Drosophila melanogaster: one gene and its partner. The protein of the gene in region 1 interacts with the protein of each later gene in a pairwise test. Each region holds a gene or a part of one and is shown on either strand. Other genes may lie near its edges.

Region 1 (8,739 bases):
AGGAATGAGTGCACGAGTGCTATCGGCACTCGATGTTATTTCGCGCGGAAAGTATTCAGAATAAGAAATATACATTTTAGATTTAAATTTATTTTTCTTCCTAATTAATTTTTTATAAACCAATATTCTCTAAACCATCCTCATTAGCTACTTTTAAGATTAAAGCTAAACAGATTTTAAAAGTTCCATCACTAGTCAAGCACTAGTTAACAGTGCTGTTAATGGAAAACATCAATCAGCTGTTGGTAACTCATGCATTTCTTAACTTTTTAAATGCGGTTGCTTGGAACTTTGAATAAATTTGTTAAATTATTGAATTATTCCCTTGCCCGGAATTTTCCAAAACGCAGCATGGCCTGCAGCAGATTCGAGTACGTTAAATCCTTTGAGCAGGACGACAGCATACTGCCTAATGTGTGGATAGTCATACGAATAGACGGCAAAAAGTTCCACAAGTTCTCCAAGACGCACGATTTTGAAAAGCCCAACGATGAAAATGGTAAGAAAAAACACTCATTATAGTTCTTAATAATCCCATTAAATATTCGCTTTAGCTCTCAATGTGATGAATGCTGCTGCCACGGCGGTGATGCAGGAGTTTCGGGATATTGTCCTCGCCTACGGTCAAAGTGATGAGTACTCCTTTGTTTTTCGCAAAGAGACGGCAGCGTTCAAGCGACGATCCGCCAAACTGCTCACCTACGTCACCAGCTTGTTCTCCTCGAGCTATGTAATGCAATGGTCCAAGTGGATGAATCTGCCATTGGCCTATGCTCCGTGTTTCGATGGTCGCGTTGTTCTGTATCCTTCGGAGCAGAATCTAAAGGACTATCTCAGCTGGCGACAGGCCGATGTGCATGTGAACAACCTGTACAATACCGCCTTTTGGAAACTCGTTTTGGAAAAAGGCCTGACGAACCAGCAAGCCGAGGCGAAACTCCGTGGCACCTTTTCGGCGGACAAAAATGAGCTGCTCTTCCAGGAATTCGGGATAAATTACAACAATCTGCCGGCAATGTACAGAAAGGGAACGATTCTGCTGAGAAAACGCGTGATATTGGGTGAGAAGAGCAGGCAGGCCGTGGTGCCGCTGCACGAGGATCTGATATCTTCGCAGTTCTGGAAGGAACACACCGAAATATTGGGAAAATATGTGCCAGGCACATACGACGCACCACAAACTTTTCCCCGATTGGTGGAGATGCAAATAAATGGCAAGGATGACAATGAGGCGGAGGAGCCACAAAATCTGGCTGGTACCAGCTGATATAATAACGAATAGTCTTGCATTTTTAAAGATTAAAGTTACGATACATCTAAGGAAGTCGTTTCGGAGATTGAGGATGCGGTGCCCAGGCTGCTGGAGTGAAGGACAAACGGATGATCCGTAATGAAGAGTAGCTAATAGTTGAAAGTTCAACTTATGGCATATATTTTAAGATTAAATCTACACTAAGCTCATAGAAAGACTATTTCCTACTAGTAGTCGTCGTCGTCATCGTCATCGTCATCCTCACTTGGCTTGCTGGCAACGGAGCCGTCTGCCAGCGGTGGTCGCTGCACCATTGCTGCCGCTTGCATGCTCATCCACTGCTGCTGCTCCTCGCGCGCCTGCTCCTCGCGTGCCTTGGCGAACAGCTCCTGCTGCTGGCGCAGCAGCTCCTCCTCCGGAATGCCCAGGTTCTCTAGGCGCGTGCTCTGGCGCCTTCGCTTGGCTGCCACCTCCTTGCAGTCGTGCAGAACGGCCTCCGCCTCTTGTTTGTAGTCGTGAAAACCCAAGCGTTCCAACGCCTCCAGGACGTGCTCTGCGTTTATCGTCTTCTTGTTGCGCATGTTGCACACCTCGTTGGCCTCCGAACTGATCAGATGAATGAACTCTGAGCAGCAGTTGAGTATCAGCTCGCGACTCTCGTTGGCCACCCGCACCGTGGGCACCAGCTCCTTGATGATCTTGTTGATGCTGGCCCGTGGCAGGGTCAGCTCGTCGTCCTCGGCGCTGGGCGGCAGTAGTTCTTCCTGCGGATTCGACATGGCGTCCTGGTTTCAAGGAACAAACAAACAAACAAACTTGGAAGCAGATGTTTTTCTCGGATTTACTAGTATAGTGTGCTAGAGTGGCCGTTTACTGCTAACAGAAAAATGTAATCGAAAAATTATTGTTTTTGTAAATAAATGAAATCATTAATTGATTGAAATGAACTATATAAAGCATATATAGCTAAAAATAAAATATATAAATGATGATATAAAATGATGTATATCATTTATGTATTCAACACAAATTTAATGGCTTAATAATCTTTGATTAATTTGATTTTGATGAATATTATAAATAATACAGCCTTTTTTTAAATGGCAGACTTTTCAAATAAAAGAATAATTTTTTTATAATTCCTACCATTATTTATATAAATAGTTTTTTTTTTTTTATTTGAAAAACCAAATGTACTGTTCTTTTTAAAACTCCACTCTTCGTTTAGTATATTTTTAAGTGTTTAGTATTTTTTTAAGTGTACTTAAGCGGCTAAGCAACGGTCACTTTGAGAAATAGAAAACAAAAAGTTGAGCTGTTTAAATTCCGGCTTATTATTAATATATTACCACAAAATGGGGGACTACGATTCCGATGATGAAAAATCACAGGTGGAGAAGCTGCGCCACGCCAAAGTGCCGCGCGGAATGTTCGTGAGCGGCTGGGACGACGATGCCGACGAACTGATCGAAGAGGACAAGAACCCACAAAGTAAGTAGAATACATTTTAGAGAAATAGTTTAATTAAACATCATCATAGGCAGCATTGAACGCATGATTCTGTGGGCGGTGAACGAGAACCGCATCAGCGAGGTGCGGGAAATCCTAAAACTGGACGCAGACACCGTGAACGCCAAGGATAACGACGGATACACGCCGCTGCACCGAGCTGCCTATAATAACTTTGTGGATATGGCCAAGTTGCTGCTGCAGTACCATGCCAATCCCAACGCCCGCACGGAGCTGGGATGGACGCCATTGCACTCCGCCTGCAAGTGGAACAATGCGGATTGCGCCCATTTGCTGCTGCAGTTTGGCGCCGATGTAAATGCGGAATCGGACGGCAAGCAGACGCCGCTTCACATAACCGCCACTGTGTCCAATTGTCGGAATACGGCCACGGTCCTTCTGCTGGACCGATACATCCAGCCGCGCAAGGAGAACAACTCCGAGGAACTGGCCTCGGTGATTGCCCGTCGTACTGGCATGAGTTTTCCCATTTTCGAGTCCGGCGAGGAAGCCTACGACTGCGAAACGGGACTGATAGATTAATCACTTAATAGTCAAACTATGCGCATACTTATAGAATAACTAATATAATATGTTTATTTCATAAATAATGTTTTCTGTCGATGGAATTGGTAGACACCACGATTTTCAGCTGGCTGGCGCTGGAGCCCTCACGAAATGCTCGTAGAATGACTTAGTGTAGTTGATCATCTCGTCCTGCATGGCGGCGGGCACAAAATACGGATTGCCCTGGCCACCCTCGATGGTTCCCCTCGCCGTGTAACGCATGTAGCTGGACACGGTAGTTTCTGGCGGCAGGACAGCCCCATCCTCAATTACACAGCAGTCTTTCAAAACACAGCGACGGCCCTGAAAGATGGTAAAAGTAAATGGATTACAAGGGTATAACAATAAGTAATAGCTTACTATGATGGCATTCTTGCCGATGTACACATAGGATCCAATGGTGGCCGCCGAGACGACTGCTCCTTCGCCAACGAAAACATGCTCACCGACGTGCATGGGAAAGAAGGCGATTCCCTTGCTGAATTGTTTGTACGGCGGTCGGATGACGGAGTTCTTGCCAATCACACAATATCTTCCCGTCCGGACATTGGCCAGATCGCCGCGAATGATGGCGCCGCTCTGTACGATCACCTTGCCGTTCAAAATAATGTTTTGGGAACCACAGAGCACCGTGTGGCGACTAACTTTGTTACCCGAAGCCTGTAAACAATCAGTTTTTTGGTCATGATGAGGTCATCTCTTAGTGCTTAAATGGAATCCCAAAGCGGAAGTCAGTGCGAATACTTGCCGTCTCTACGTATTCATCTTTGCTGTAGTAGGTATCCGGAATTTCCATGATTAATCAGCAGTTTTAAAAACTATTTTTAAGTAAAGTAAATAAAATAGTGAAACTGCACTTGCGAAAATATTTCGACCAGCTGATGTGTGTGGTCGCAGTGTATAGTTGGTAAAATACCAAATGTAACGCGTTAAGTCAAGACCTAAACCACATTAGCTTGGCGCCAAATTTGAATTCAAATTCGTTGCATTCCATTGATTTTCCATTGAAGAGCTTGGCATTACATCTAATTATTAATTAGACACACGCGAAGTTTTACAAATTACAAGCTGCCTTGGCGGGTGCATAGAAAACCCAGGTGTTTAACCCACTTTGACCCTGAACTTTTAGCCATAATTCTCAAATCACGATGCACATCTAGACAGCTGCTCTTCAGGCGCAAATCTGCTGGCAGAACGAAAAGAATGTGCATAATTGAACTCACACAGCTGTTGGCTGAAAGCGCAGTAAGCTCCGCCGCCTCCCATTGACGCACCGACCTTCCAAAACTTTTAACTTCCCGCTGTCCGACGCTCCAACGAAGTTCCAATTAATGCGCTCCTTAATAATCGCGAGACCCAGCCCATTGGCTTAACCTTCGCGGGGCACGCTCGAATGCCTCAAGCGGCGGCAGCTCTGGCAGCATTTTAATTTGTTTATGTTTTCATTACTATTTTCTTCGTTTGGCTCTCCACATTTTGCAGAAGTAAGCAAAGCTATGGATTTGCGGGCTTTTCCATATATGATTTAACTACGCTTAAAGAATGTCAATTAAACAATAAAGAAGACTATGTAAAGTTGAAAGGGTATACTAGATTCGTTAAATAATATGTAACAGGTAGAAGCAAGGGTTTCCGACTAAATAAAGTATATATATTCTTGATCAGGATCTGTCCGTTTGAACGTAGAGATCGCAGGAACTATAAAAGCTATTTGAGATAAAAGCTAGAAGGCTGAGTAAAGGGTATCTAATAGTCAGAGAACTCGACTCTCTTGTTTTTTTTTAATCATTTTCCATACATTCTTTAACAGATTTTACGAAAATATTAACTAAACATGGAGAAATAGTAACGAAATTTGTTAGCGCAGAAATCTTTTGTTATATTCAGACTTTTAAGAACAACTGCCTTTCTTAGCTACAATGAATTTCCCCACCCCACTTGACCTTCTTGGTTTGAACTATCTGAACTTTGCCATTATTGCTTTTCTATGCCAATTACTGCAAACAATTGTGCCAGTCTATTGAAGCTTTGAAGAATCCGCCAAAAGCAAAGAACACAAATCGTTTAACCTTCGGCGAGAAAAACCGCATCGGAATCTATTAATCTGTTTGGTGTTTGCACTTTTGAACTTAAGGTTAATAAACTTGAACTTGAATAATGTTTGGAAATTAATTGAGTTGTGCACACAAACAACTCTTCAATCGGTTGATCAAACAAATTATTCCAATTTGTTTCATTTCGGATTTAAAAATGGTGCCTATTGTTAAGTGTGATTTTCAGCAAGGCGAAACTGAGATGAATCGGTTATTAATTAAGTGTTTGATTAAATATACGAAGCAGCTTCAATCATTTCTCGATGCTGGTGATTAAAGCAAATCTAAACGATAAAGTGATTTAAGATATAGGGAGATATGAAATCCGAAATCAACCTAGGTACATACTTTTGTAACCTCAAGGTAATTTTCTGTAATATTTGTAACTTTCCCTGCCAGCAATTAGAAGTCCATGGCCGCGAAGGTCTTGACTTCGTCGTAGAACGTGTAGTCAAGTGTTTGCCTTACACTAGTCCAACAGCGATCGAATAAACTCTTCTGCCACATTTCGACCTTGGGCAGCCCACGAAGGAGGGCCGCGAGCTATGTGTGTGTATGTAAATATTTACAATAGCCAACTCATCCGCGACCTTGATAATTGGTTTCTGTTGTATCAAGTGGCTGTTGTTGGGAAAACTCATTATTAAATGGCCAGCTAATCAAGATCAAGAAACACGCACTCTGCCCTTCCCATCGCCACCAAAAAAAGACAATCGCTCACGATCGCATTGATCTTGATGGCTTTATGGCTATAAAATTTTTGAATTGTTTTCTCCGAGACAAAACCGGCGGCACTAGATCGCATAATTATTGAATGGAAATTACACTGAAACTAAAACAATGCCAGTGCTATCCAGTTAGATAGTCATGTCATGTTTAATTGAATAATTGCAAATGGCTTACATATATACATATGTGTATATATATATGTGATTTGGCCAAGAACAGGCGAGTTGTAATAATGCAATAATGAAGGTGAAACGACAAATGAAATTAATTGGAATTAGCAAAATTGTGAAAATACTTGTTGCATTCAATGCGCGCAAGGTAAGTTGGAGTGAAAGAGTCAGTCTGAGAATGTTGCATAATATTTTCACTTTTTTCCCCCAGCTGACCGACAAAAACAAAAAGAAAAAAAATTAAATCCCGCAAGTGAAACGAGTTTTTTGTTCAAGTCTTTTGTTTCGATCGATAACATGCATCTATTGACAACTCGCAGATAATTTCCTATGTTGGTGTGTATGCTGCACATGTGTAGTTGCATATATTCACTAAGTTTCAGATTGACAGAACAAAGGTGACTATCAGATTCTCGGAATGTGAGTAATTCAAGGATCTTTTGAGTATGCACTTTTCTGTCCATAAATGGCTACCCAATTTTGAGACTCCACCGAAAATTCTCTTAATAATTGATGTGACTAACATAATAACTAAGCACAACGAATTTCCATACTGTCCCATTTCACGCTAAAGTTGTTTTAAAGTTTCCTTCTTTAGAGACTCATATAGATATTTTATTGAAATTATAATAACATAGCTATTAAGTAAGTTTCATTTCTCAGAACGACTCCTTAAGTGTAAAGTTAAATTTTTAGAAAATGTGTTGCGTGATATATTATGGTTCTACCTTAGAACCCCATTAACCATATGCATTGGAGTGCCGCCTCCAGCTCTCCAGCGACCAAGCACTTTTTGGTTTCTATTAATTACAGTCATTACAATTCCATGTGGTGACCAAATGGCTTCCTCATGTCAAGATCCCAACGCGAAACGAGTAGCTCGCGATTAGCAACGAAGTTTTGAGAGCTCAGTTCAAAAGCCGAGTTCAAGAACTAACTAACGATTGTCTGACAATGACAGTAGCTCAACGGTTTGCGAGGGAGGGGGTATCCATAACTCTGTTGGATTTGGAGTTGGAGTTGCCAATGCTTGAGCTCAGCGCGACCAAACAAATAGCAATGAGAAATTGTGTGAATCGAGCAACAAATGAATGCGCTTTTGATGTGGCGTATATTTATAATACAAATTATGGGTACGTATATAACGAATTTCCCACCCACAGCCCCCTCTGGGATACGCTTGAATGGGCGTGGCATGCTGCAATTTGTTGCTTTTTGCCCCCAAAAAGCGACCTCAGATTGCCCAAGTTGTGCTAATTAAAACATTAACTCTGCCCCGAGGCTGAATTCGCATTAAATAACGATTGCCCGTGATTTTTTTTTTTGCTTTTTGCCGTTTTTTTTTTTACTTCTTATTTGCCAAAATCGATTATAATCAAATTTCAAGTGGCCCCCGTTCGGTACACGAAAAAATCAAAACCAGTAGAGAGTTAACTGTCAAAAAACCAACGCACGACAACGCCAGAAACAACATTGCTGACAACAGCAGCTACAGTGTGGAACATAGTTGTAAATCACATTGTTGAGTTCAGGACAGCTGATCTTTGCTGTGCTGACCAATTAAGTGCCATTTCAAGAGGCTTGAATGAACAGAATTTTGACAAGGAGTTCTTTTAATTAGGTCATATCCTTTTTTTAAAAACTATACTTTAAATATATATATGTCATGATGCATTTCTCGTAGCTTATTTGCCTTACGTTAATGCATTGTTCCAATTTTGATTGCTCTATTGGACTTCGCTTACTCTTTTTATTTTTTTCTTTTTGCATGCGGGCGCTAATAGTTTTGAACCTGACGAGAGACCTAAAAAATAAGCCAAATTCAATTTTCAGCTTTGTATGCCATGGGCAAGGCTAACCTCGAGCCACGAGCAGCGATTTAGATTCAGTCTCAGTATTTGGATCGGTCTGGATTTCGGGTATTAAACATATATAATTTGATTCAATTTGGTTTCTTGTTGTGACTCGGCTTGTTTCCACTTCCTTTTCGCCTTTCAGCGCGCTCGGTAAAATATGATATAATATAAAATGATATGATATCGGTATCGGTTTATAAGCCCTCCAACCCACTTAGCTGATAAACAGGTGATTAAGTCTCTTGTGTCTGTCAGTTGATTGAACTTTAAAGGTTTTCCAGCGACTCAGTGTCACATTCGTTTGGTTTCTCGCTGGGTGGCCCACTATTTGGTAATTGATTGACAATGATTGACAATCAAACTCCAGTTTGTATGAGCATATATTTCCATATAGGTAGCGTGCTCAATGGCTGGGCTTATTATTGTATCCAAGGCTTCCGTGCGAAGTGTGCCTCGGAAGTTGTTAGTGGGTGGAAGTAATTAAATTCGATTTTAAACATTCGATAACAACGAGAGTGGCGGTCAATGGTGGCTATGTAATTTTTTTGTGAGGGTTCTGTGAA
Region 2 (5,585 bases), on another chromosome or scaffold:
AAGGATAAGGCCGTCCAGGTGCAGTTCGTCTTCGATAAGGTAGAGGGCTCCGAGGACTGCCTCTATCTCAATGTGTACACCAACAATGTGAGTAATTCTATTAACTTGTGTACATAAAACATCGTTAAAACCGTAATAACTTTAAACATTTTTTATTTGTGGTACATTTTAGGTGAAGCCCGACAAGGCTCGCCCGGTTATGGTTTGGATTCACGGAGGAGGCTTCATTATCGGCGAGGCCAATCGGGAATGGTATGGCCCGGATTACTTTATGAAAGAAGATGTTGTTCTCGTCACGATACAGTACCGACTTGGGGCTTTGGGTAATCTACTGTGTGCGTATGCGCAATATTTTGACTAAACATTATTGTACCTACACAGGATTTATGAGTCTTAAGTCCCCCGAGCTAAATGTACCAGGAAATGCTGGCCTCAAGGATCAGGTGCTGGCCCTCAAGTGGATCAAGAACAATTGCGCTAGTTTCGGCGGAGATCCCAACTGCATCACTGTTTTTGGAGAGAGTGCTGGAGGCGCCTCCACTCACTACATGATGCTAACCGATCAGACCCAAGGGCTCTTTCATCGCGGCATCTTGCAGTCGGGCAGTGCCATTTGTCCTTGGGCCTACAACGGCGACATTACCCATAATCCCTACAGGATAGCCAAGCTGGTTGGCTACAAGGGCGAGGACAACGACAAGGATGTGCTGGAGTTCTTGCAGAACGTAAAGGCCAAGGATCTTATTCGCGTGGAGGAAAATGTCCTGACACTGGAGGAACGCATGAACAAGATAATGTTTGCCTTTGGCCCATCCCTGGAACCATTCTCCACGCCCGAATGTGTGATATCCAAGCCTCCAAAGGAGATGATGAAGACCGCCTGGAGTAACTCCATCCCCATGTTTATAGGAAACACTTCGTACGAGGGCCTGCTGTGGGTTCCAGGTTAGATATTGGGAATTTTTTTGAATTTTCTTTCAATAAGTAAATTTAATTTTATTTCACAGAGGTAAAGCTTATGCCGCAGGTGCTGCAGCAGCTTGATGCTGGCACACCTTTCATTCCCAAAGAATTGCTGGCCACGGAGCCCAGTAAAGAAAAACTGGATTCGTGGAGTGCACAGATTCGAGATGTTCATCGCACTGGCTCAGAAAGCACCCCAGATAATTACATGGATGTAAGTGTCGTCCAATTAGGTGCTTACATAATCATAAGCTGGTAATTTATTTCAGCTCTGTTCGATTTACTACTTCGTGTTTCCGGCCCTGAGGGTGGTCCATTCCCGACACGCGTACGCGGCTGGAGCTCCAGTATATTTCTATCGATATGACTTCGACTCCGAGGAGCTCATTTTTCCGTACCGCATTATGCGGTTGGGACGCGGTGTCAAGGGGGTCAGCCATGCCGACGATTTGAGCTACCAATTCAGCAGCCTGCTGGCTCGCCGGTTGCCGAAGGAAAGTCGCGAGTACAGGAACATCGAACGAACCGTGGGCATCTGGACCCAGTTTGCTGCCACGGGTAATCCCTACAGCGAGAAGATCAACGGTATGGACACTCTGACCATTGATCCAGTTCGCAAATCCGACGAGGTCATCAAGTGCCTCAACATCAGTGATGACCTGAAGTTCATCGATCTGCCTGAGTGGCCCAAATTGAAGGTCTGGGAGAGCCTCTATGACGACAACAAAGATTTATTGTTTTAAATTTAACTTACTGTTCTGTACAGCCTAACAAAGAAGTCTCTAGAAACTGTAAATAGGTCAAAATGCTTTATAAAATATATTCTGCAATTGGATTGTTTTGCTTTATAACTAGTTTGCCCAATGATTGCATGTGGATGAGAAATCCTAGTTTAGGTGAGATTTAAAAATATATATTTCTATTTATCTCTATATTTACCTCAGTTTACGCCATTTATTTAAATGCTTGATAACTTCTTAATAAGTTTGAATATAAAAACAATGTTCGACATGCCCTTTTGACTTTACTGTCAATAGCAATAGGAAAATTAAATTTTTAGACTTTTTTAAATTAACAAGTTTTTTTCCGAGATCTAGGGAAAACAAAGGAAAGGAACTCTGATCCCGTTGATAGAATGGCTGCCACTCGTCGTCTGACACGGGAACTCTCCGATCTGGTTGAGGCCAAGATGAGCACTCTGCGCAACATCGAGAGTAGCGATGAGTCCCTGCTGATGTGGACGGGTCTTTTGGTTCCGGAAAAGGCGCCCTACAACAAGGGCGCCTTCCGCATCGAAATCAACTTCCCGCCCCAGTATCCCTTTATGCCACCAAAGATCCTATTCAAGACGAAAATCTATCACCCCAACGTGGATGAGAAGGGGGAGGTGTGCCTGCCCATCATCAGCACAGACAACTGGAAGCCCACAACGCGCACAGAGCAGGTGCTCCAGGCCCTGGTAGCCATCGTCCACAACCCGGAGCCAGAACATCCGCTTCGTTCTGACCTGGCCGAGGAGTTCGTAAGGGAGCACAAGAAGTTCATGAAGACGGCCGAAGAGTTCACCAAGAAGAATGCGGAGAAGCGACCAGAGTGAAGTCAGCCGCAGCTCACATTTATTTGTATATCAAAATTATATATAGTTTGGACCATCAATTAAAACTTGTCAGACATAAGTTGTCCATATTTTGAATGTTCGCTAAGATATATGTATGGCGCATTAAATGGACGGTAATTCGATAAAAAAAATGGGCAAGAAAAAAAGTACAGTTAAAAAGAAATTCAAAATATTTTTCAAAATTGAGGTAAAAAAATTGTGGCCGTTGGTAAGCGTGGAATACATGTTGTTGGTTTATTGCTACAATCGTAGCCAACTCTTGGCTACTTGGCGGTGATTGTGGCCGGTGTCTAGCAATCTACTAAAGAAAACTTGTGCTTCAGCGCCTGTAGAATCTGCATGCTTGATTTCCCATTTCTAGCCATTATAGTTCCCGAGTTCACTCGGATATTGATCCTATATATGTACACATATAATTGATACCTATTACTTGATATACCCCTTTGTCTACGAGTAACGAATTTAATCAAATTACATTAATGTATCATTAACAGTAACAACAGGCAACCGCATTTGGCAATATCGTATTGGTAATTATAGCAATCATATTTACCTAATACAGTTACACATATACGCATAAGCTATCAAATATTGACCACATTCATCACTTTGGACGTCAGGTAGTCCACGTAGTGACGAAGCGTACCAGTAGCGTCTGCGAAGGATAATAACATACTTTCATATATACACGATAATAAAAGTCTGCTGCCGATTATAGCGAGTACCAATAGATATATACCAATAGAACACAAAAACTAAAGGAATTGTAAAACAAGCCTTTGAAAAGCCTAGAATACGATTCTGGGCTAGTGTTGACGTACGAAATATATTACAAAATTCTATCTGTAAACACGGTTTTAATAAAATCCATGTAAGAGTATTACCAAAGACATTAGAACATTATTCTAGTGTCTTAATACTAAACACTAGGTTTTAGGAAAATTTTTTTTAGTAAATGTTTGGTCGGTTTGTTTGTGTGAATCAGAATGATTTATCCTAAATTACCCCTTTTTTCATAAATCACCTCGTTTTAAGAAAGTTTAGTTTTGACACTTTTGAAAAAACCTGGTAGTTTATCGGGAAAACAGCTTTGAATACACCTTTTACTTTAGAACATCTGGGAATTAAGGCTTCCGCAAAAGGTCGCTCAAAAAGCATTTCCAAGTGCTTGGTACCATTTTTAAACGTTGTAGATCACTGTCAAAATTGGATACGTACTACTCCGATTGTTTTATATTGTTGTATACTACTTACCTTTATTCTATACTTTTTCAAATTTATGCATTTTTAGAGCCGTTACATGTAGAGTAAATGGGTATACTAGGTTCGTTAAAAAGTATGTATATATAGTCTGATCAGGATCAATAGTCGATCCGGCCATGACCGTCTGTCTTTATATGTAACCGTTTCGATATCAGAGATCTCTCAAAAAATCAAAAAATTGGGCGTGGCAACATCTCTTGTCTATGTATTTGGAATTTGGATACCAAATATCTACTTCCTGATATCCTGACGTTCATACGGACGGACATACAGCCGGATCGACGGCGGTCGGATAGACGGTCATGGCCAGATCGAATCTCAAATACCCTTTTATTATATGAGTAACATGTATAAAAATATGTATTTTAGCTGCTTTAAAAAAAAACTATCACATAAAAGCAACGAATTAAGCCTGTTAGCTGTAATGCATATAGTTGCGTTAAAATAAAAAAAAGGGTATATATAGTGCTCAAGAACCGATATCATTATGTAGTTTTTGCCTTCTCAATCGAAAATAAACAGAGTCGCCCTATCATCAGAAGTGCTTAATGTCCTTCAAGTTATTTATGGGCCTATGCAAGTTGCACTGAACGGAACCACTTGCTGATTACATAATATTTTTTTTTTCGACAAAATGAAACACAGAGACACGTTAGCACTGCGGTGTGCTTAGTACATTTGGAAACAATAGATCATAAATCCGAACCGCTTGGCATCAGTTTAAACAATAAAAATGGACTCAAGCCTGGTAGAGATGATGTGATCTCAATAAATTAACCGACAAATAAATTCAAAGCGGCGTCAACAGTAGGCAATTACTCTTGCTGACTTTAATTGAGCAATTACGTTGGGAACAAAATTTGTCATATAGAAATGAAAAGCGATTTCCGTTCTGTTAAAGCCATCCATGAACTTGATACAAGCACGTAAGATTGCGTGGCTTGGTGGGAGGAAATAGGGGAGAAGTAAGATATAATATTCTATAATTACATGAACTACATGGTGTTATTGGTGCTTCCTCATGGGGGAACGAACTCAATTAGCTGGGAGTGTATTTTTTGATGGTCAGCAATATTTCTATATTGATTTCGTGTAATACCTTTGTTCTTCAATTCTAGCCGTTGATAATATTCCCAGTTGCTTTGCTAATTGCACCATATATGTAGTTTTATCATGGTCATATCTAAGGGAAATATAATTGTGTTCAATAGCTCAAATTAAATTATCTCAATAACTTATTAATGCGGAAAACTGGTTTGTATAAATGTATAAATAAGTAAAATATATATAATTGCGTTTCATGAGTTTTAGGTGAAATCTGGTTATATTTTTTCTTGAGTAACGACCTTTATTATTGATGTTTCTAAATGTATGTTCATAAATTATTATTGTGCAGTAATAAGTTAAATATTATTCTATGATGGGCTTTCTTTTCCTGAGCCAATAAAAAAACACCTATAAAAAATAACTATCTGTAAATATTTAGTTTTAAGTTTATGGCAATCGTTGACAGCATTTAATTGATTTAGGCCTCAATTAATGTAATCACTTCTATATAACCGGGCAGTGAAGCTCCGCCCAAAAACCGCAATAACATTAATAACAATCGCGGGGGGCTGATAGCCGAATAGCGGGGCATGCTATAAACAATAAACAACACGGCAGCAACAAAAACGATAACGCCTAAACAAAACAACGGCGCCCAGAACAGCCAGCAAGCAAGCGACTCAGTCGAGCCAAA

The links. Proteins that work in one complex are often made in the same cells at the same time.
Region 2: the proteins of DCTN5-p25 (region 1) and Ubc84D interact in a two-hybrid assay, tested with the Drosophila melanogaster proteins (one large-scale study listed by BioGRID).

The regions. Positions count from the first base shown.
Region 1 is NT_033779.5:15,001,210-15,009,948, reverse strand, and holds DCTN5-p25 (dynactin 5, p25 subunit), read right to left. Parts: upstream 4,217-8,739; 5' UTR 4,125-4,216; coding exon 4,077-4,124; intron 3,989-4,076; coding exon 3,689-3,988; intron 3,632-3,688; coding exon 3,410-3,631; 3' UTR 3,342-3,409; downstream 1-3,341. Other genes in the region: THG (tRNA-histidine guanylyltransferase), read left to right, coding at 352-499, 555-1,267; NC2beta (negative cofactor 2beta), read right to left, coding at 1,480-2,031; Ankrd49, read left to right, coding at 2,608-2,743, 2,793-3,304.
Region 2 is NT_033777.3:7,515,872-7,521,456, reverse strand, and holds Ubc84D (ubiquitin conjugating enzyme 84D), read left to right. Parts: upstream 1-2,000; 5' UTR 2,001-2,098; coding exon 2,099-2,560; 3' UTR 2,561-2,637; downstream 2,638-5,585. Other genes in the region: alpha-Est7 (alpha-Esterase-7), read left to right, coding at 1-87, 173-323, 382-945, 1,008-1,177, 1,233-1,706. UniProt on the Drosophila melanogaster protein: Catalyzes the covalent attachment of ubiquitin to other proteins.